Linked DNA regions of Macaca fascicularis. The protein of the gene in region 4 interacts with the protein of the main gene of each other region in a biochemical or structural test. Links are inferred from orthologs where the notes say so. Each region holds a gene or a part of one and is shown on either strand. Other genes may lie near its edges. The genes, in order: RAD51, CRKL, RIN1 and ABL1.

What was found.
Region 1: the proteins of ABL1 (region 4) and RAD51 form a complex in vitro, tested with the Homo sapiens proteins (2 studies listed by BioGRID). The link is inferred for Macaca fascicularis from reciprocal best matches to the Homo sapiens genes ABL1 and RAD51.
Region 2: the proteins of ABL1 (region 4) and CRKL form a complex in vitro, tested with the Homo sapiens proteins (4 studies listed by BioGRID and IntAct, with this or other methods). The link is inferred for Macaca fascicularis from reciprocal best matches to the Homo sapiens genes ABL1 and CRKL.
Region 3: of the proteins of ABL1 (region 4) and RIN1, one has a biochemical effect on the other in vitro, tested with the Homo sapiens proteins (2 studies listed by BioGRID and IntAct, with this or other methods). The link is inferred for Macaca fascicularis from reciprocal best matches to the Homo sapiens genes ABL1 and RIN1.

The regions. Positions count from the first base shown.
Region 1 is NC_088381.1:17,222,572-17,227,932, reverse strand, and holds the start of RAD51 (DNA repair protein RAD51 homolog 1), read right to left. Parts: upstream 3,438-5,361; 5' UTR 3,167-3,437; intron 1-3,166.
Region 2 is NC_088384.1:31,929,906-31,934,315, reverse strand, and holds part of CRKL (crk-like protein), read right to left. Parts: intron 1,929-4,410; coding exon 1,794-1,928; 3' UTR 1-1,793. UniProt on the Homo sapiens protein: May mediate the transduction of intracellular signals.
Region 3 is NC_088388.1:8,064,937-8,070,312, reverse strand, and holds the start of RIN1 (ras and Rab interactor 1), read right to left. Parts: upstream 3,677-5,376; 5' UTR 3,642-3,676; coding exon 3,556-3,641; exon of another isoform or gene 3,530-3,555; intron 3,418-3,529; exon of another isoform or gene 3,412-3,417; coding exon of another isoform or gene 3,398-3,411; coding exon 3,217-3,397; intron 3,115-3,216; coding exon 3,000-3,114; intron 2,921-2,999; coding exon 2,848-2,920; intron 2,737-2,847; coding exon 2,645-2,736; intron 2,496-2,644; coding exon 1,758-2,495; intron 1,443-1,757; coding exon 1,137-1,442; intron 877-1,136; coding exon 745-876; intron 629-744; coding exon 477-628; intron 1-476. Other genes in the region: BRMS1 (breast cancer metastasis-suppressor 1), read right to left, coding at 5,121-5,128. UniProt on the Homo sapiens protein: Ras effector protein, which may serve as an inhibitory modulator of neuronal plasticity in aversive memory formation. Can affect Ras signaling at different levels. First, by competing with RAF1 protein for binding to activated Ras.
Region 4 is NC_088389.1:12,994,802-12,999,720, forward strand, and holds part of ABL1 (tyrosine-protein kinase ABL1), read right to left. Parts: intron 4,262-4,919; coding exon 4,077-4,261; intron 392-4,076; coding exon 239-391; intron 1-238. UniProt on the Homo sapiens protein: Non-receptor tyrosine-protein kinase that plays a role in many key processes linked to cell growth and survival such as cytoskeleton remodeling in response to extracellular stimuli, cell motility and adhesion, receptor endocytosis, autophagy, DNA damage response and apoptosis.

The DNA.
Region 1 (5,361 bases), on a different chromosome or scaffold from region 4:
AAGAGAAATGACAAGTGTTTGAACTGAATTGATGGATATGCTGATTACCCTGATTTGATCATTCATTATTCAATATATATGTACTGAAATATCAACTTGTTCTCATAAATATGTACAATCATCTGTCAAAAACAAAGTAAAACTTATTATTTTCACAACCTTGGGATATAAAAAGATTTCTTGAAACGATACATAACGCACTAGCCAAAAAGGAAAAGACTGAAAGCTGAACTACATTTAAATTCAGCACTTCGGCCAGGCACTGTGGCTCAGGCCTGTACTCCCAGCACTTTGGGAGGCTGAGACGGGCAGATCACCTGAGTTCAGGAGTTCGAGACCAGCCTGACCAACATGGAGAAACCCTGTCTCTACTAAAGAAAAATACAAAATTAGCCGGGCGTGGTAGCACATGCCTGTAATCCCAGCTACTCAGGAGGCTGAGGCAGGAGAATCGCTTGAACCCGGGAGGTGGAGGTTGCGGTCAGCCAAGATCGCGCCATTGCACTCCAGCTTGGGCAACAAGAGTGACTCTCTGTCTCAAAAGGAAATATAAATAAATAAAATAAAAAATAAAAAAATAAATTCAGCACTTCTATTCATCAAAGGACACCACTAAGAGAATGACAAGTCAAACCACAGTAGAGGTGAAAACATTTAGCACAAACATAACTGAGGGCTGATAACCAGAATATAAAGAACTTTGGCCTGGCGCGGTGGCTCAAGCCTGTAATCCCAGCACTTAGGGAGGCCAAGACGGGCGGATCACGAGGTCAGGAGATCGAGACCATCCTGGCTAACACGGTGAAACCCCGTCTCTACTAAAAAATACAAAAAACTAGCTGGGCATGGTGGCGGGCGCCTGTAGTCCCAGCTACTGGGGAGGCTGAGGCAGGAGAATGGCGCGAACCCGGGAGGCGGAGCTTGCAGTGAGCTGAGATCCGGCCACTGCACTCCAGTCTGGGCGACAAAGCGAGACTCTGTCTCAACAAAAAAAAAAAAAAAAAAGAACTTCACATCAGTAAGAAAAAGTAGAAAAATAGACAAGAGATTTGAACAAGTACATCACAGAAGATATCCAAATGGGAAAAACATATGAACAAATACCCAACCTCATTAGTAATCAGGAAAATTAAAATCACATTGAGACATTACTGTGTAACCAGCAGAATAGTAAAAAAAAAAAATTTTTTTTTTTTTTTTTTTTTGAGACGGAGTCTTGCTCTGTCGCCCAGGCTGGAGTGCAGTGGCGCCATCTCGGCTCACTGCAAGCTCCGCCTCCCGACTCATTGCATCTCGGTTCACCGCAATTCTCCTGCCTCAGCCTCCCCAGTAGCTGGGACTACGGGCGCCCGCCACCACGCCCGGCTAATTTTTTTTGTATTTTTAGTAGAGACCGGGTTTCACCATGTTAGCCAGGATGGTCTCTATCTCCTGACCTTGTGATCCGCACGTCTCAGCCTCCCAAAGTGCTGGGATTACAGGCGTGAATCACCGCGCCCGGCCAGAATAGTTAAATATAAAAGGCTGAAAATCGTGTTGTCAAGCATGTAAAACAACGAAACACTCAACACTCCTGATGTATTTTTATATAAAATTCAAAAACGAGCAACATTAGTTAATCGCATTAGAAACCAGTGTACCAGTTACCACTGTAAAAAGGGGAAAATATTAAATACTACATAAGGAAGGCTTCTGGGGACCATTCTATTAAGTGGTGATTACGTAGGTGTACATTCATTTTGTCTTGCTCTATCGCCCAGGTTGGAGTGCAGTGGCCTGATCACGGCTCACTGCAGCTTATACTTCCCAGGCTAGATCCTCCCTTCTCAGCCTCCTGAATAGCTGGGCCTACAGGTGCACGCCACCAAGCCTGGCTAATTTTTTCTATCTGTAGAGATACTGGTCTCACTATCTTGACCAGGCTGTTCTCGAACTCTTGGGCTCAATTGTCCTCCCGCCTCCACCTCCTAAAGTGCTGGGACTACAGACTTGAGACACTACACCCGGCCAGTATATTTTGTAATAATTCACGGAGTTGTATACAGTTGTGAATGTGCATTTTTCTACATGTATATTACATATCACTTTAGAAGTTTAAAAAAAAAAAAAAAAAGCCGGGCGCGGTGGCTCACGCCTGTAATCCCAGCACTTTGGGAGGCCGAGGCGGGCGGATCACAAGGTCAGGAGATCGAGACCACGGTGAAACCCCGTTTCTACTAAAAATACAAAAAAAAATTAGCCGGGCGCGGTGGCGGGAGCCTGTAGTCCCAGCTACTCAGGAGGCTGAGGCAGGAGAATGGCGTGAACCCGGGAGGCGGAGCTTGCAGTGAGCCGAGATTGCGCCACTGCACTCCAGCCTGGGCGACAGAGCAAGACTCTGTCTCAAAAAAAAAAAAAAAAACAGGGGCCAGGCGCGGTGGTTCACGCCTGTAATCCCAGCACTTTGGGAGGTGGAGGCGGGTGGATAACCTGAGGTCAGGAGTTCGACACCAGCCTGACCAGCATAGTGAAACCCTGTCTCTACTAAAAATACAAAAATCAGCCAGTCGTGGTGGCGGGAGCCTGTAATCCCAGCTCCTTGGGAGGCTGAGGTAGGAGAATCGCTTGAACCCGGGAGGCGGAGGTTGCAGTGAGCCGAGATCGCGCCACTACACTCCAGCCTGGGCTAAAGAGCGAGACTTCATCTCAAAAAAAAAAAAAAAAAAAAAGTTTTAAGAAAACCAAGCCTCACTTCAGATCATTCTCTAGGCATCATGCGAATGGTTTTCCGCATTAGATGACGAAAATACTGTTTTGGCAATTGCAGGTTGGTACTTTCTAAGCACGGTGTAACGGAAAGACAGACCAAGAATCCGGAAGCCCTGGCTGTGATATTAAACAGCTGTGGCTACACCGCTCTGATCTCAGACTCCTCGCTCAAACTCATAAAACGGGTGTTGGCTATGAAGGCTCTAATGTTTCTCCCCTAGTTCTAAAGACTGGGATCCACCTGTGTTTTCGCCCCAGCAACTGAGAGTCGGTCGGACGCGGACACGCCCTGCCACGTCCGGGTTTCACACTGTGCGCGGAGACCCCACCTGCCCCTGAGCATTGGACCGGCCAGGACCCAGGTGGGCGACGACGAGCCGCAGCTATAGAGGGCCCGGCCTGCGCCTCACACACTCACCTTGGCCCTCAGCGCTGCTCTTTCCAACGGGCCGCGCGCTCCGACTTCACCCTGCGGGGGTGACACGCGCCTGACCCGCGCGGACCCCAACGCCCCTGGCTTACGCCCTACTTCAAGTCTACTCGCTTGCCCCAGCCTTCTGCGCACAACCCAGACGAGTTTCAGCTCCCAGCTGCACGCCTCGGGAAGCGCCGCGCTCTCCTTAAGGGTCGGTCTCTGGTCGCTGGGCGCGCTCCGACGGCGGCTTTCAGAATTCGCGCCAAACCCTCTCGCCCAGGGTCACGCACGCGTCGGCGTAACGTATCTCCGCCTTCCGGATCCGCCTTCTTGCCCCTTCCGCCCACCGCGCTAGCCCAAGACTGGAACTCGAGAGCTTGATCCTGCGCGAGGTTACGGACTGCCCTCTTCCCTTTTTGCGTAAGGACTAATTCAGACTTTATGCCGGGCGCGGTGGCTCACGCGCGTAGTCCCAGCTAACTCGGGAGGCCGAGGCGAGAGGATCGTCTGAGCCTGGGAGTTCTAGGCCAACCACGGCAACGCCCCTACTCTTACCCTAGTCCCTCGCGGGTGGGGCGAGGGTTTTCGGGGGACGGTGGGGGAAGACATCAGAGTTGCTGTGGTCTGTTTACCAGATCGAAGACTACAACTCCCAAGAGGTAATGCGTCGGCCCGGGACTGTATCTCCCGGCATGCACCGCCGGCGGGCCTGCGAGTTCCTACCGTCATCCCAGCTGGACTATTACCTGGAGCCGGACTATTACCTGGAGCCTTAGCACTCTTGTGGTTTGTTTCAGCAGTATCTGAACGTCAGCTTTTGGCGCTGGTAGCTCTGAGCCTCCGACTCACATTCCTGGAACCAGGTGCTTTCCAGGCCTCATGGAGGTGGAGGAGCTGAGGAAGCTCGAGAAGATGGATAGAAGTGAGAAATGGAGCTATCGGAGGGGAGAGGGAAATGGCTGGAATATTCGTCAATCTGTGGTGCTTTACTGGAGATTTGCAGGACTTCAGAGGAAGGGGGCATTGAATTTCATAACCTAAACCGTCTCGTGGTTTACCAGAAAGTTTTGACCCGTGATTCCGGTTTTAAAGGCTGAGTAGGGCCGAGAATCGCTTGAACCCGGGAGGAAGAGGTTGCAACGAACCGAGATCTCGCCACTGTACTCCAGCGTGGGCGACAGAACGAGAGTGTCTCAAAACAACACAAGCTAGCTGAGTAGGATTTCTTGGGCGAAGTGGAAGACACTATAAGCAGATAGGGTAGTATGGGCATGGAAACAAACTACATGATTAAAGATTAGTATTATCTAGCGAGGGAGGAAAAGTGCCAGAACAAGTGCCGAAACTGGAAAGTTACATTTAGTTCAGGATATGAAGAGGCTTAAGATCATATAAGGCCTGCACAGTGGCTCACGCCTGTGATCCCAGCACTTTGGGAAGCCAAGGCAGGAGAGGATCGCTTGAGCTCAGGAGTTGGAGGCCAGCCTGGGCAACATAGTGGGACCCCATATCTCCAAAAAGAATAAGCTGGGCATGGTGGCTTGTGCCTGTGGTCTCAGCTATCCCGGAAGCTGAGGTGGGAGGATTGCTTGAGCTCAGGACGTCAAGGCTGCAGTGAGCTATGATGGGACACTGCACTCCAACCTGGGCTACAGAGTGAGATCTTGTCCCAAAAAGCAAGCAACAACAACAACAAAACATGTAAGAAGAGGCCAGGCGCGGTGGCTCAAGCCTGTAATCCCAGCACTTTGGGAAGCCAAGGTGGGTGGATCACGTGGTCAGTTCAAGACCAGCCTGGCCAAGATGGCAAAACCCCATCTCTACTAAAACTACAAAAAGTAGCTGGGCGTGGTGACGCATGCAAGTAATCCCAGCTACTTGGGAGGCTGAGGCACAGAATTGCTTGAACCTGGGAGGTGGAGGTTGCAGTGAGTCGAGATCACCCCACTGCACTCCAGCCTGGGCAACAGAGCAAGACTCCGTCTCAAAAAATACATATATAAGGAGCTTTGTTCTCTAGGTACTGAATAAATCACTGAAAGTTTTTAAGAAGACAAGTTATTTGGTTAGATCTATTTCCCCTCCACTATTACTAATTTGTTATTATTATTATTATTATTTTTTTTTAGATGGAGTCTCACTCTGTTACCCAGGCTGGAGTGCAGGGATGCGATCTCAGCTCACTGCAACCCCCACCT
Region 2 (4,410 bases), on a different chromosome or scaffold from region 4:
AGTCACAGCAGATACTCAGTAAATGACAGTTACTCATTAGGCTGTTGCTACATTTCTAGGTCTGCTGTGTTCACTATAAGCTGAGGCTTGTCTTTACCAGGGCCCAGAAGGGAGAACAGACTGAATTACACAGGGTTCCCAGAATTCTAGTCTGCCATGAGCAGCAGATGACGGATGAACCACACATATATACCAGCTGGCTTGTATGAACAGGCCTCTTTTAGCTAACAGGGAAATGCTTTAACATCAATACACTGATAAGTGGTTAATGATAAACTGGTTAATGGTCTCCCTAGTCACTAAAACACTAAGACATCAAATACATTAACCAATTTCCAGAGCCTGCATTTCCACTGCTTGGGAGCATCAGACACTTACTTAGACTGTGAGACCAGTATCAGCAGCACCAACTTTCTCTGGCAGCCTGGTGAGACTGGGCCTGGGTACGGAGGTCTGGGCTTCAGTGAGTGGAATTTAACGATTCATTAATGAGTCCAATGATTCTATGAACAACCCCACTTTTTAGGGGAATTTAAGTCTTAACCTTAAAGGGGTACATTCACTGAAAAGCTGAACAGAAAACTGGCCAACTGCCCTCCAACCCACTGCTCTTATCACTGGCAAACAAGGTAAGCAAAGGTTTCCCTAAAGTACCCCCCAACTCTGATGCTTTTTAAAACAAAGTAATCCAAGGGGCTGTGCACATGGCATGGCACACCACAGCTGCATTATTTTGTGTGTTTTCTGCTACATGGCAAAACAAACTACTACTGGCAACCAAGACAATAAAGGCCTCTGCTTCAGGGTTGTTCTTTTCAGATTCCTTTAGTTACAGCAGCTTCAGTTTAGAAGCTCAGAGGCATGTGTCATTCCTTGCACTATCATAAAAACCCAACCTGCTACTTAACCTGTTTAGAACACACAAGTCTAGGCCAGGCACAGCGGCTCATGGCTATAATACCAGCACGTTGAGGGGCTGAGGCGGGTGGATCACCTGAAGTCAGGAGTTCGACACCAGCCTGGCCAACATGATGAAACCCCGTCTCTACTAAAAATACAAAAATTAGTTGGGCGTGGTGTGCGCGCCTGTAATCCCAGCTACTCGGGAGGCTGAGGCAGGAGAATTGCTTGAACCCGGGAGGCGAAAACTGCAGGGAGGCAAGATTGCGCCACTGCACCCCAGCCTGGGTGATGGAGCGAGACTCCGTCTCAAAAAAACAAAAAACAAAACAAAACAAAACAAAAAAACCCCACACAAGTCTAATTAATTAGTTTTCCAAAACCAAACCAAACCAAAAGAAAAAAAAAAAGCCGAATTTTGGAGTTTTAGAACAGAATTCTCTCTTCCTTAAGGTTCAGTTCCTGTTGTCCAAAGAAAAGCAAGATGGCAGCTGAGCCACTGCTCTGTGGAACAGCAAACATGCAGTATCTCGCCATGGCCTCAGGCTTTCTCTGGTGAACACGACAGAATCAGTCCCATGTACAAACAGGCAGCGATGAGAAGGAAGACCCTTTCCTCGTCAACTTCTCTCCACTTGTGTGCTTCCATCAGTATTTCCAGTTTATGATCCAAAAGAACTCTAAAATCGGCTACTCTTTGACAATACAACTATGATACAAACGTCAGGAGGCAGTCGCTGTGTGCATTCCAAATGTGTGTGCGACTGCCAGTCTGCAGAAAGCTGGACTTCGGCAATGCAGTGTGACTTGCCTATGAGAGAGAATGCTTTCCCACTTCAAAGGAGACTAGGACAGGCAGAACAACAAAGCAGCAGGAAACGGGGCAACGGCAATCACTCATTTTCATCTGGGTTTTGAGGGTCAAAGATTTTGACATGCGTAAAGGGAAAAAGCCCTTTGCGCCCATTCACCTCGCCTTCCCACTGGCCATTTATATTCATCCTTGTGACTTTCACAATGTCACCAACCTGTACGGATGAAGAAGACAAAGTTAGCATTTCTCTGCAACAAGAAAAAGACAGTTTACATTAAATCACAAACACTACCTTATCCAAAGGGCCCATACATTATTATTTAGACACAGAGTCTCACTCTGTTAGCCATGCTGGAGTGTAGTGGTGAGATCACTACTCAATGTAACCTCTAACACCTGGGCTCAAGTGATCCTTCCACCACCACCTCTTGAATAGCTGTGACTACAGGCGTGCACCACCATGCACATTAATTTTTTTATAGACAGGGTCTGTCACCCAGGCTGGAATGCGGTTGCACGATCACAGCTCATTGTACCTTGAACTCCTGGGATTACCTGAGGTCACGAGTTCGAGACCAGCCTGGGCAACATGGTGAAACCTCATCTCTTCTAAAAAATAGAAAAATTAGCCGGGTGTAGTGGTACATGACTCTAGTCCCAGCTACTCAGGAGGCTGAAGTGAGAGGATGGCTTGAGCCCATGAGGCTGAGGCTGCAGTGAGCCGTGATCGTTCTATGGCACTCCAGACTGGGCAACTGAGTGAGACCCTGCTCAAAAAAACAAAAACACGCACACGCACAAACAGCTTTTGAGCACAAAGCAGCTCCTCCCCAAACCAACCCTTTATTTTGGCTACTAACCCCAACAGGATAGAAATGAACACATGATTCTGAGAACAGTTAAAGTCAAATCACACAAAAAGGTGTATTTTTAAAAAAGACCTTCAGGTGGTAGCCATTGTAGACATTGTGCTCTCTGTTCAGCAGAGCACTAATCTAAGATTCTATTTTGTGTACTCAGGTCCATAAAAACACTACTTGAATATAAGACACGCCTAAGATCTAAGACAATAATAAATAAGCTTTCGTCTGCTTAAACACATACAGAACCAGGCATAGTGGTGCGTGCCTGTAGTTCTAGGTACTTGGCAGGCTGAGGTGAGAGGATTGCTTGAGCCCAGGAGTTTGAGACCAGCCTGTGCAACACAGCAAGACTACATCTCAAAATAAAAACAGGCACAAGGTGGCACAGTCCAGTGGTCCATGCCATGAACTTTGGAACATGCAGGACACCAAACAAATGTCCTGGTTCTGCCACTTTTAGAAACTACATGACTGTAGCAAACTGCTTAAGTTCTCCAAGTCTCAGTTTCCTTCCAACTTTGAAAGGGTCTTACAGTAATCAAATGATTGTTACTTGAGTAGAGATTCCTGAGTAGAACCCAGCCCCACGCCCCCTCTAATGATCATACCCTTTGGATGCACGAAGGGAAGAGCTGGAATTAGCACTGAGAAGCACAGCACTGTATGTATCAGAGGATTTCCAACCTTGTCACCAACAAGGGTCCTCTCAAAACCAACGAGGAACAGGCTGAAAACGGGGTCTAATAAATTACTGTGATGGATACTGAGCAGCCAAGGAAGACAACGGGAAGATGGAGATGAGGAGGCTAGGGACTGAAAGCTACCAAGAACACTCACACCTCATACCTTCCAATTAACTTGTGAGTCTGGCGGTCTTTAACAGGATACTTTCTACATGATCCTACCTAAACAATTAAATAAAATTTACTGAACATCTATTCCATGGAAAATGGGCAGGTCAGTTCGTATCCTCAAAAAACTTGTCTTTTAAGTGGGATACACGATGAATCTTTGTTAGATAATAACATAGTGTAAAAAACACGAAGTGGCTGGGCGCAGTGGCTTACACCTGTAATCCCAGCACTTTGGGAGGCTGAGGCGGGTGGATCACTTAAGCCCAGGAGTTCAAGACCAGCCTGGGCAACACAGTGAAACCCTGTCTCTAAAATACAAAAATGAGCCAGGCATGGTGGCATGCACCTGCAGTCCCAGCTACTTGGGAGGATGAGGTGGGAAGATCGCTTAAGCGCAGGAGGCAGAGGTTGCAGGGTTGCAGTAAGCTGTGATCATGCCACTGCACTCTAGCCTGGGTGACAGAGCGAGACCTTGTCTCAAGAAAAGAAAAAGAAAAAGGCTGGGCGCAATGGCTCACATCTGTAATCCCAACACTTTGGGAGGCCGAGGCAGGTGGATCACCTGAGGTCAGAAGTTCGAGAGCAGCATGGCCAACATGGCAAAACCACATCTCTACTAAAAAATACAAAAATCAGCCAGGTGTGGTGGTAGATGTCTGTAATCCCAACTACTCAGAAGGCTGAGGCAGGAGAATCACTTGAACCTGGGAGGTGGAGGTTGCAGTGAACCAAGATCATGTCACTGCACTTGGTGTAGCCAGGCGCAGTGGCTCACGCCTATAATCCCAGCACTTTGGGAAGCCAAGGTAGAGGATCACTTGAGGCCACATGTTCAAGACCAGCCTGGGTGACATAGTGAGACCTAGCTTCTATTAAAAAGAAAAAAGAGAGAGAGAGAAGACACATAAAAGCAGCAAGTGGCAGAAAAACACTACTAAATCAATGCTGCAGAGCATAGGATCAAGGAGCTACTGCTTAG
Region 3 (5,376 bases), on a different chromosome or scaffold from region 4:
AGTACTCAGCCCTGACTGGCATGCATCTGGCTCCAAAGCTGAGGGACCAGTGTGGGCTGTGCAGGGACAGGGTGGGGAGGTGGAAATCCAGTGGGAGAACCAAGTGGCAAAAGCTCTGTGAGCTCCAGGGGTCGGCTTGTGGGCCACAGTTGAAGGTGCAGGACAGCCCAGTGGGGAGCTCACAAGCCTGAGACGAAGCTTTGATAGTGCACACTTTGTGCCCCAAGTACTCTCCTGCATTAACTCATTTAATCTTTACCTCAACCCCACGAGGTAGGTCCTATTACCCCATTGTACTGATGAGAAAACTGAGGCACAAAGTAGTTAAGTAACTTGCCCAAGTCCCCACAACCCAGTGGCAGAGCTGGGATTAGAACCCGGGATCTGGCTACAGAGTCTGGACTCTTCACCAAGGACAGGAAGGTGAAAGGCGGGGATGGTGTCTGGCTCTGAGGACACGGTGGAGGGCCTGTTACCTGGAAGCAGTGGGTGGCAGGCAGGCGGCGCTGCTCCCAGAGGCTGAGGGAGCGCCGTAGCTCCTGCGAAGGACTCAGTGGGAGGGTATGGGCCTGACCCAGGCCACTCAGCAAGGCCAGGCTGGCAGACAGGCTGGTCAGGTAGTAGCCACCTGGGACACAGGGTGGAATAACACGGCTCAGGCTGGGTGTGGGGCACCCATCCCCTCTCCCCTTCCCTGCTTATTCAGGGCCCACCCAGGCAGGGAAGTGGGTGGGGGTCCCTCACCCTCTCCGGTGAGCAGGCTGGGCTCCAGCAGCTCTGACATGTACTCGGCCTCCAGCAGCAGCTCAGGAAGGTCACAGTGGGCCAAGACGAGGCTCAGCAGAGGCAGGAACTCGTCAGCACCCGCGTCCTCCCCTGTGGGGACATGGTGAGAGGAAGAAGCTTCAGGTGCAGTCCTTGCTTTAGGCAGTGACCCCTCCCCATGGCCTAGCAACCATGGCAGGGCTTCGGAGAGAACGCACTGCTCTCTGGGCCTCAGTTTCGCAATCTGCAAGATGGGAGGGTGGGCTCATTCTCTCCCGCAGGGCCATTCCAGGGTCCTGGGGACCTGCCACTGGGGGTCCCACCTCCAACTCAGAGGGGCAGGGCAGGGTGAGGTGGTGGCAGAGACATACCCTCCTGGGTCCTCAGGGCCATGTAGAGCAGCTTGCAGGCCTGCAGGAGCCGCTTCACCTGGGCGCTGGGTGAGTAGGTGCGGAGCAGCTGCAGCAACTTCTGGCGCACCTGCTCCATCTCTACTGGGGAGGGCAGGCTCAGGTGGGACCCAAAAGCTCCGGGACCCTGGGCCCGGGCCAGGCGGAGGCCCTCAGCTAGGCGGCCCAGGGAGCCGTCTGCGGCAAGCCGGCGCCGCACGCGGGCTGCCAGGATGGGCCGGAGAGGCTTGAGCACAGAGCGATGCAATGACTTCTCCAGGACATGTTCTGCCAGAGGAGGGGCAGGGAGGGGTCAGGGGAAGACTGGGGAGATGGGGGACAGAGGCCAGGGGAGATGGGGGACAGAGGCCAGGGGAGAAGGGAGCAGGGGTAGAATCGGGGAGGAGAGGCAAGGAAAGCAGGAGGAGGTAGCCTGGGTGAGACAGAAGAGTTTGGGGAGAGAGAGGATGGAACTCTCTCGAACAGTGGTAAGACAGGGTGGGTTTGTAAAGCAGCAGAACAGAATCAGACAGGCTGGCGCTGTGGAGGGGAGCAGAGGGTCGGATGGGGCAGTGCTGGAGCTATGGAGAGACGGAGCCTCACCCAGCCTTTTAGGCGGCAGCAGCTTCTCAGGGCCCAGCTCCACGCTCAGCATGGCCCGGGCCCGGCTCAGTGCCTGACGGATGCCCTGCAGCTCCTGGGGCTCAGGCCCGGCCCGCACCTGGGTCAGTAGGTCCTGCACCAGCTGGCCTGCGGCTGTGTGTCGGTCCTGCATCAGTGCCGCCGCGGCCCGGCCCACCTGCCGCTCCGGCGCCAGTAGGGAGCAGAAGGCGGCACTCATGGACCGAAGCAGAGGCCGCCGGCGGCCCAGGTGGGGTGAGGTCGCTGGGCTCCCCCGGGACCCTGGCGCCCCCTCCTCCTCGGAGCTGCTGGGGGAGCCGCAGTCCACCTCCTGGAGGGAGGGCATAGGCGGAAGGCTAGGGTCACCGCCTGCTGGCACGCGGTACCCCACTGAACTCTCCCTCCGCAGCAACTGGCAAGGGGGCAGCCGCTCTGTCTGGCTGGGGACTGCCCCTGGCAACACAGGGACCGGGGGAGGCGGCACGGCAGGTGGAGACAGGGGGCTGGAAGTCTCTGTGGACACGCGCACTTTGAAGCTTCTCTTGAATTTCTCCCGCTTGGTGGGCCCCAGGTCCCCCGGGAACAGGGGGTTGAAGAAGCACAAGGCGGCTCCGGTGCCCTGGTCCAGCTCTTGAGGGGACCGGGCCTTCAGCTGGGGCAACACTGGGCCTCCAGCCGGGCCCCGCTGAGCCTTGATGTTGAGGGAGGAGCTCCAGAACTCTAGGGAACAAGAAACCAACTGGGGCCTCCAGGATTGGTTAGGGGAAGTTTCCCAACCAAGGAAAGGCATGGGCTTCGGGCCGTGTGCTGCGAGCCTTCCCCTCCCCTCAGCCTTTTCATCTGTGCAATGGGTGGCAAGGAGCTCTTACCAATGCCCAGATGGGAGATGGCCTCCAGCTCTTTGTGGGTGGCTGCACGGTGGATGGCTCTGGGGAGCTGCAGCGGGAGGAGAAGGATGTCCCTGAGGCCAGAGAGGGGAGCAGAAGGGAGTGAGGGCCGAAGGGGGTGGGGAGGATGGGCTGTCCCAAGGAGCAGGGCCCGTGGACACCGGGCACCCTGCAGGCAGACTCACCGGGTGTGGCAGTAGGCACAGATGAGCTGGACTAGGTCTGGGAACATGAGCTCCGAGCCCTCCAAGGAGACGCCTGAGAGAGGAGGGAAGTGAGGTGCTTCTCTAGGGAACCTCCCTCCTTCCAGCCCCTTCCTGCCAGGCCAGCCCCTCACCGCCAGGGCTCTCCAGGATGTAGTGGCTGGAGACGAAGGAGGGGCCGCTGGCTTCGGGCAGTCGCATGCACAGGGCCTGGCACTGTCGGGTGTTAGATTTCCGCACGAGGAACGTCTGCAAGTGGATAGGGCTCAGGCAGCTCAGGACCTTGGCATTCCACCCTTCTCCCTCCCACCCCTGGCTGGCCAGTCCCTGGAGGTTGGGGGCAAGACTCACCCCCGGGGGCTCGGTCCTCAGCACGTGCAGTGCCGCGGCTGCGTTGGCTTGCAGCTGCAGCCACACAGGCCGGGTGAGCAGCAGGCGCTCCCGCAGGCTCACAACGCGTCCCGGCCGCTGTGGCCCGCCTGCCTGCCCGCCGCTGGCATTGGGCACGTCATACAGTGGGTCCTGGGCTGGCCTGAGGGCGGGCATCCAGATCTGAGCAGGGAGCCAGGGGCTGGGACCCTTGCTCTCCTCTTCCCCGCTCCCAGGTTTCCCACCTTCTCCATCCCCAGATAGACCCTCTTCTCGCAGCCCCTCCCTGCCCCACCTGGCTGCCCTGCCAACTTCACTAACTTTTCTGTCTCCAGGTGCCCAGGAGTGAAGCTGGATGGGCTGGGGGCTCCCGGAGGGCCCGTGCCTGACTCTCCAGGGCTTTCCATGGCTGGGAGCTCCTTCGGCTTCAGGAAGAGAATCCAACCCCAAGGCAAGGCACGCACATCCCCAGTGAGTAACACTTCCTGAGGGCGGTCCGCCTGTCACACCCGCCTGTTAACTCTTGTGTGTCCACCCCGCCTGGCCAGTGCCTGCCTCCTCTGTTCTGGACCCTGCTTCGGGGGTCAGGGATCCCCTCCGTGCTAGCCCTGCTCTGAGGGCCCCAGCTGGGGGGTGCCACCTCCACACAGGGCCTCCTGCAGCCTCACCAGCTCCTCAAATTGCACAGGTGGGCGGGAAGTGGTTAAACGGCCGACTCAGTCCCCGCAGGCCCCAGCCACACTCTGGGGGCACCTCTGGGTCTGTGGTCAGTTGCTCATCTGCCCCTGGCCTCAGGTCAGCCTTGTGGGAGAGCACCCTCTACTGTCCATAGATGACTCATTCCTGAACATGGGTTTTAGGATTTTAGGTTGCCATGGAGAAAATATGCCACGTCTCCATGGAAACCAACCTATTTGCTTAACTGAGGTTCTGGGGGTGGTTCTGACACTCAGCACTAACCAGGGGGAGTCTGGCTGTGAGGTCGTTAGCACATGGTGCTGCTGCCGGCTGCCTCCTACGCATGCAGGCTCTGCCAGCCTGCCTTGCCAATCTGCCAGGCAACTGGGACAGGTGCAGACATGACCCAGGCTTCAAGCACACGCACCCATCCTCCCCACCCGAGGCACTCCGCTGGCGCCATATGTTCTCTGCCCAGTGCCAGGCAGCCCAGCGCCCACCTCCCCCTCCCCAGTGTGGCCCCACGCACAGTGCTCCAGCCTCTGCTGGGCAGTGCAAGGAGTGGCAATCTGCAGGCACCTCAGAAGTCAGCCTGGTTCAGGTGCTCCCCACAGAAGCCCTGATTCTCTTGCAAGGTAAATCACACATACACGGGGCACACCAGAATCCCAGGAAAGGTTTTAATTCTAGTCCTTGAAATCTGAGAGGCAGACACCAAGAACTGCCCTGAGAAAACCTGGGGGGCCTGGCATCTCGCCTCCAGCCCCAGCCAGGGTGGACAGCCCCCCTAGATATCACGTCTGACTCAGAGTTCCTGCACAGTGGGGCCTGGCTCCCTGGCCCTGAGGCCGGAGAGCCTGCATCCAAGGTCAGCAAGAGGATGTGGCTTTGACTTCAGCTGTCTTCTCTGTCAGGGGAGCCCCAAGAGGCGGATCTTCAGGAGCGGGAGGTGGCAGGCGGCTCAGGGATGGAGACAGCAGCCTTGCCTGGCCAGGTCGGCTCCACAGCCACAGCTGTGCAGGCCTCGAGGAGGGCAGAGGAGGAGTCCAGGCCAGTGCCAGCGGAGTGGGAGGGCCCAGCAGCACCACAGGAGCCTGGCTGGGCAGACCCTGAGGGGCCTGTGGGTCTGCCTGTCTGCAGCAGGAAGATGAGAATCCTGGGTGCGGTGCCAGCTGCTCTGAGGGTCCCCCTGGCTCTGAACAGCAGGGTCACGGTCCTGTGCGTATGTGGGAAGGAGAAAACTGTCACCAGTGAGGAAGCTGAAAGGAGGGGGGCAGCCACTTACTGAGCGGAGTGACTTTGGGCTGGCCCAGGACAGGCCTCCTGGGCAGCTCCACGGCCCTCCCTGACCCCTCCTGAGTGGGAGCTCCATCAACCCAGGCTTCCCCAGCCCCATCCTGGTTCCTGCTCCTCAAACTCCCACAAGCCCCTCAAATCTAGACCATCCTAACTTTCTTGGGCCAC
Region 4 (4,919 bases):
TACACCCAGGTTTGGTAACTATCAATACCATTTTTGCTTTAAAAGACAAGTCATGCACATACTATCTATCTGTAAATAAAGATCAATAGGTATCAAATGGCTACATTAGCTGCTTCTGAAGAACTGGAATGGAGAGAGCTCATGGAAAAACTTTCAACTTTGTGTACACACTCCTGCATAGTTGGAATTTCCTGGAATGCCCACATATACTTGTGAGAACAGGCTGAGGAAGGCTTACATGCTCGCATGAGTTCATAGACCTTCTCTGGGCAGCCTTCTGGGCGCTCCATGCGGTAGTCCTTCTCCAGCAGCTCATACACCTGGGACAGGTCAATTCCCGGGTAAGGGGACATGCCATAGGTAGCAATTTCCCAAAGCAATACTCCAAATGCTGAAAGAAAACCGAAAGAGGCTGTTCAAGATGTGCAGCATTTCACTACACTACATTTAAAATCGGTTACATCTGCAGCAGACCTCAGAAGGGATGGCCCCAGCAGCAGCCCAGGCTCTGACATTTTACCAGACTCTTTATCATCAGAAGACCAGGACAAGGCCAGGTGCAGTTGCTCACGCCTGTAATCCCAGCACTTTGGGAGGCTGGGGTGGGAGGATCGTTTGAGGTCAGGAGTTCAAGATCACCCTGGCCAACATGGCAAAACCCCATCTCTACTAAAAATACAAAATTAGCCAGGTGTGTTGGTGCACAGCAGTCGTCCTGGCTACTTCGGAGGCTGAGGCAGGAGAATTGCTTGAATCTGGGAGGCAGAGTTTGCAGTGAGCCGAGATTGCTCCAGCCTGGGCGACAAGAGCAAGACTCTGTCTCAAAAAAAAACAAAACAAAACAAAAAAAACACCAGGACAGAACAAGACTCAGTAAACTTACCCCACAGACAAACATGCTGGAGGAGGGCAGAAGATGAGTTATCAGACCCTGTGGGGTATTTTAGGTAATGTGACCATCTTGCCGGGATATGTGGTAGAAGGAAACTGGCACTGGAAGTCAGCCGGCCATGTTAACTCATAGCTCTGTGACCAACCAGCTCTGTGCCTAACTGGCCACCACTGCTTTCCGGGTGCACAAGACTATCTCCAAAGCCCCTTCTAACTCTAAACATTTCATAAAAATCTTACAAAATCTTCGAATGTTTTGAAATCTCAGATTATTGCCTTGAAATTCCATTTCCCATTAAAGGGTAAGATTCCTTGGAGAAACGGGTGATTCAGGCCTGGGGCACAGAATGAACCTGCAATAATCTTGTCATTTGAGGGCATGGATATCACAGAAAACTACACAGGTAATGTCAAAATGACTAGGAGCTAATGTGAAGTTCCCACTGGCCAAGATGAGACAATCTGAGTATCAACAGGGAAAATAACCACAGTGGATTGAAACACATCAAATATATATAAATCTGAGAGTTCATAATAATACCACAAATGACAACAACAAAAACCTAATTGGCCACCACTGAAGGGTATTAAGAAACTAACTTGTGCACTTTGGGAGGCCGAGGCGGGCGGATCACGAGGTCAGGAGATTGAGACCATCCTGGCTAATGCGGTGAAACCCCATCTCTACTAAAAATACAAAAAAAATTTAGCCGGGCGCGGTGGTGGGCGCCTGTAGTCTCAGCTACTCGGGAGGCTGAGGCAGGAGAATGGCGTGAACCCTGGAGGCGGAGCTTGCAGTGAGCTGAGATCGCACCACTGCACTCCCGCCTGGGCGACAGAGGGAGACATCATCTCAAAAAAACAAAACAAAACAAAACAAAACAAAAAAAAAACTAACCTGTGGCAGGGCATGGTGGCTCATGCCTATAATCCCAGCACTTTGGGAGGCCAAGGTGGGCAGATTGTCTGAGCTCAGAAGTTCAGGACCAGCCTGGGCAACATGGTGAAGCCCCATCTTTACTAAAAATACAAAAAAAATTAGCCTGGAGTGGTGGCAGGCACCTGCAATCCCAGTTACTTGGGAGACTAAGGCAGAAGAATTGCTTGAAACACAGGAGGCGGAGGTTGCAGTGAGCTGAGATCACGCTACAGCCTGTGTGACAAAGCAAGACTGTCTCCAAAAAAAAGAAACTAATTTGTTATTTTAAGAACTGGTAGGCCGGGCGCGGTGGCTCAAGCCTGTAATCCCAGCACTTTGGGAGGCCGAGACGGGCGGATCACGAGGTCAGGAGATCGAGACCATCCTGGCTAACACAGTGAAACCCGTCTCTACTAAAAATACAAAAAATTAGCCGGGCGTGGTGGCGGCGCCTGTAGTCCCAGCTACGCGGGAGGCTGAGGCAGGAGAATGGCGAGAACCCGGGAGGCGGAGCTTGCAGTGAGCGGAGATCCGGCCACTGCACTCCAGCCTGGGCGACAGAGCGAGACTTCGCCTCAAAAAAAAAAAAAAAAAAAAGAACTGGTAAAAGGCCGGGCGCGGTGGCTCAAGCCTGTAATCCCAACACTTTGGGAGGCCAAGACGGGCGGATCACGAGGTCAGATCGAGACCATCCTGGCTAACACGGTGAAACCCCATCTCTACTAAAAAATACAAAAAACTAGCCGGGCGAGGTGGCGGGCACCTGTAGTCCCAGCTACTTGGGAGGCTGAGGCAGGAGAATGGCGTAAACCCAGGATGCGGAGCTTGCAGTGAGCTGAGATCCGGCCACTGCACTCCAGCCTGGGCGACAGAGCGAGACTCCATCTCAAAAAAAAAAAAAAAGAACTGGTAAATAAAACCAAAGAAGCAAGAATTGATCCTGCTCTTCCTATATGAACTGTACCACTGAGTAACCAAAGAGATGAGGAACTGTTTCTCCTCATACAAGTATTCCACTAACAACTGAATAGGAATGACAGAATTAGAGAATTCCCATCTGGCAACACCTAGTAAACTATTGGATCTAGGCACTGTATATCAATAACTGCTAAAAATTACTCAAAAAAATTTTAAAAAGATAGAAAATCAAGCATTTTGGGGCCGGGCGCAGTGGCTCACAGCTGTATCCCAGCACTCTGGGAGACCGAGGTGGGCAGATCACGAGGTCAGGAGTTCGAGACCATCCTGGCCAACATGGTAAAACCCCTGCCTCTACTAAAAATGCAAAAATTAGTCAGGGGTGGTGGCAGGCACCTGTAATCCCAGCTACTCAGGAGGCTGAGGCAGGAGAATCACTTGAAACCGGAAGGCAGAGGTTGCAGCGAGCCGAGATTGTGCTACTATACTCCAGCCTGGGCAACAAGAGCGAAACTCCGTCTCAAAAAAACAAAACAAAACAAAAACAAAAACAAAAAGAAAGAAAATCAAGCATTTTATGTCTACTGATGGAAGGGCACACCATCTCTTCTGATCCACTCTTACTAAAAGAAAAACAGTCAAACCTGAATGTGATGAGGCTGTCCAGATTCAGCCACCCTTAACTAGGAATATGGAAGCCAGAGGAACATTAAATCACACCATTGGAGACAATGGGCAAAACTCAGAACGTAAGAAACTCTGCGGAACAAATGATGATTTCTTCAATAAACAAACAGCAAGGGAAATAAAGACATGGAGGGGGCTCACAGAGGACACTGTTTTAACAGACAAATCAGCAGATACACTGTGCACCATATTTGGACCTCAGGCCAAAGGTTTTAAAAAAAAAAAAAAAAAAAGGTGGCTGGGTGCAGTGGCTCACACCTGTAATCCCAGCACTTTGGGAGGCCAAGGCAGGTGGATCACCTGAGGTCAGGAGTTCTAGACCAGCCTGGCCAACATGGTGAAACCCCATCTCTACTAAAAATACCAAAAATTAGCTGGGCATGGTGACGGGTGCCTATAATCCCAGCTACTCAAGACACTGAGGCAGGAGAATTGCTTGAACCTGGGAGGCAGAGGCTGCACTGAGCCAAGATTGTACCACTGCACTCCAGCCTGGGTGACAGAGTGAGACTCCCTCTCAAAAAAACAAAAAGAAAGGAAGAGCAAGAAAAAAAGGGGAAAAAAAAGGGAAGAGCAAGAAAGAGGCAGAAAAAAAAAAAAAACCAAAAAAAAACCCTCCCGTAGCCAGGAAGGACCACTTCAGTGCAGCAGCAACCCTTACCCCAGACGTCGGACTTGATGGAGAACTTGTTGTAGGCCAGGCTCTCGGGTGCAGTCCATTTGATGGGGAACTTGGCTCCGGCATGGGCTGTGTAGGTGTCCCCTGTCATCAACCTGCTCAGGCCAAAATCAGCTACCTTCACCAAGTGGTTCTCCCCTACCAGGCAGTTTCGGGCAGCAAGATCTCTAAGAAAGAAAAATGTTCACCCATGAGAGCTCCTGGCCAACTTTCCACTTCACAAATCCACCACTGTTGAGCGAAGCTGCAATGCTGACAATGGGAAGATTGAGTCCAGTGCCCTGGAAATTTGTATTAATGCCCACTGCAATTAACACAGTGCCAGCCTCTCAGCAAACACACCTTGAGATAGATCCCAACATCGCGAGAGGCTGGTGCTGGGAGCGGGCTCCCTGGCCCCATGACCTGGAGCAAGTTAATTACCTTGGGACTCAGTTACCTCATCCGTAAAATGAAGACGATAATAATGGCACCCACCTCTTAGGGCTGCTGTGAGTGTAATTAATTAATATGCTAAATGCTTTGATTGATGTGTCGAGAATATTAAGTGCAGTTATTGCTACTCTATGCCAGGCACAGAGACAAACACTTAGCCCAGTCTTTGATTGCAAGAAACTTTTATCAGAGTGCATCTCCACTTGTCCTATCCAGACTTGATGGGACAAAATAAAACAAAGCCCATGACATTCTTTACCCAAACTGTGTTTCCTACTTCCCTCTTTCTTCCTGATGTGTACCCAAATGTATCCTAAAAACGCTCTCCTGTATAATCTGTTTCCTCTCACTTCCTGATTCTCCCAGGGAGGTAGGAATCTAATCTTTGGT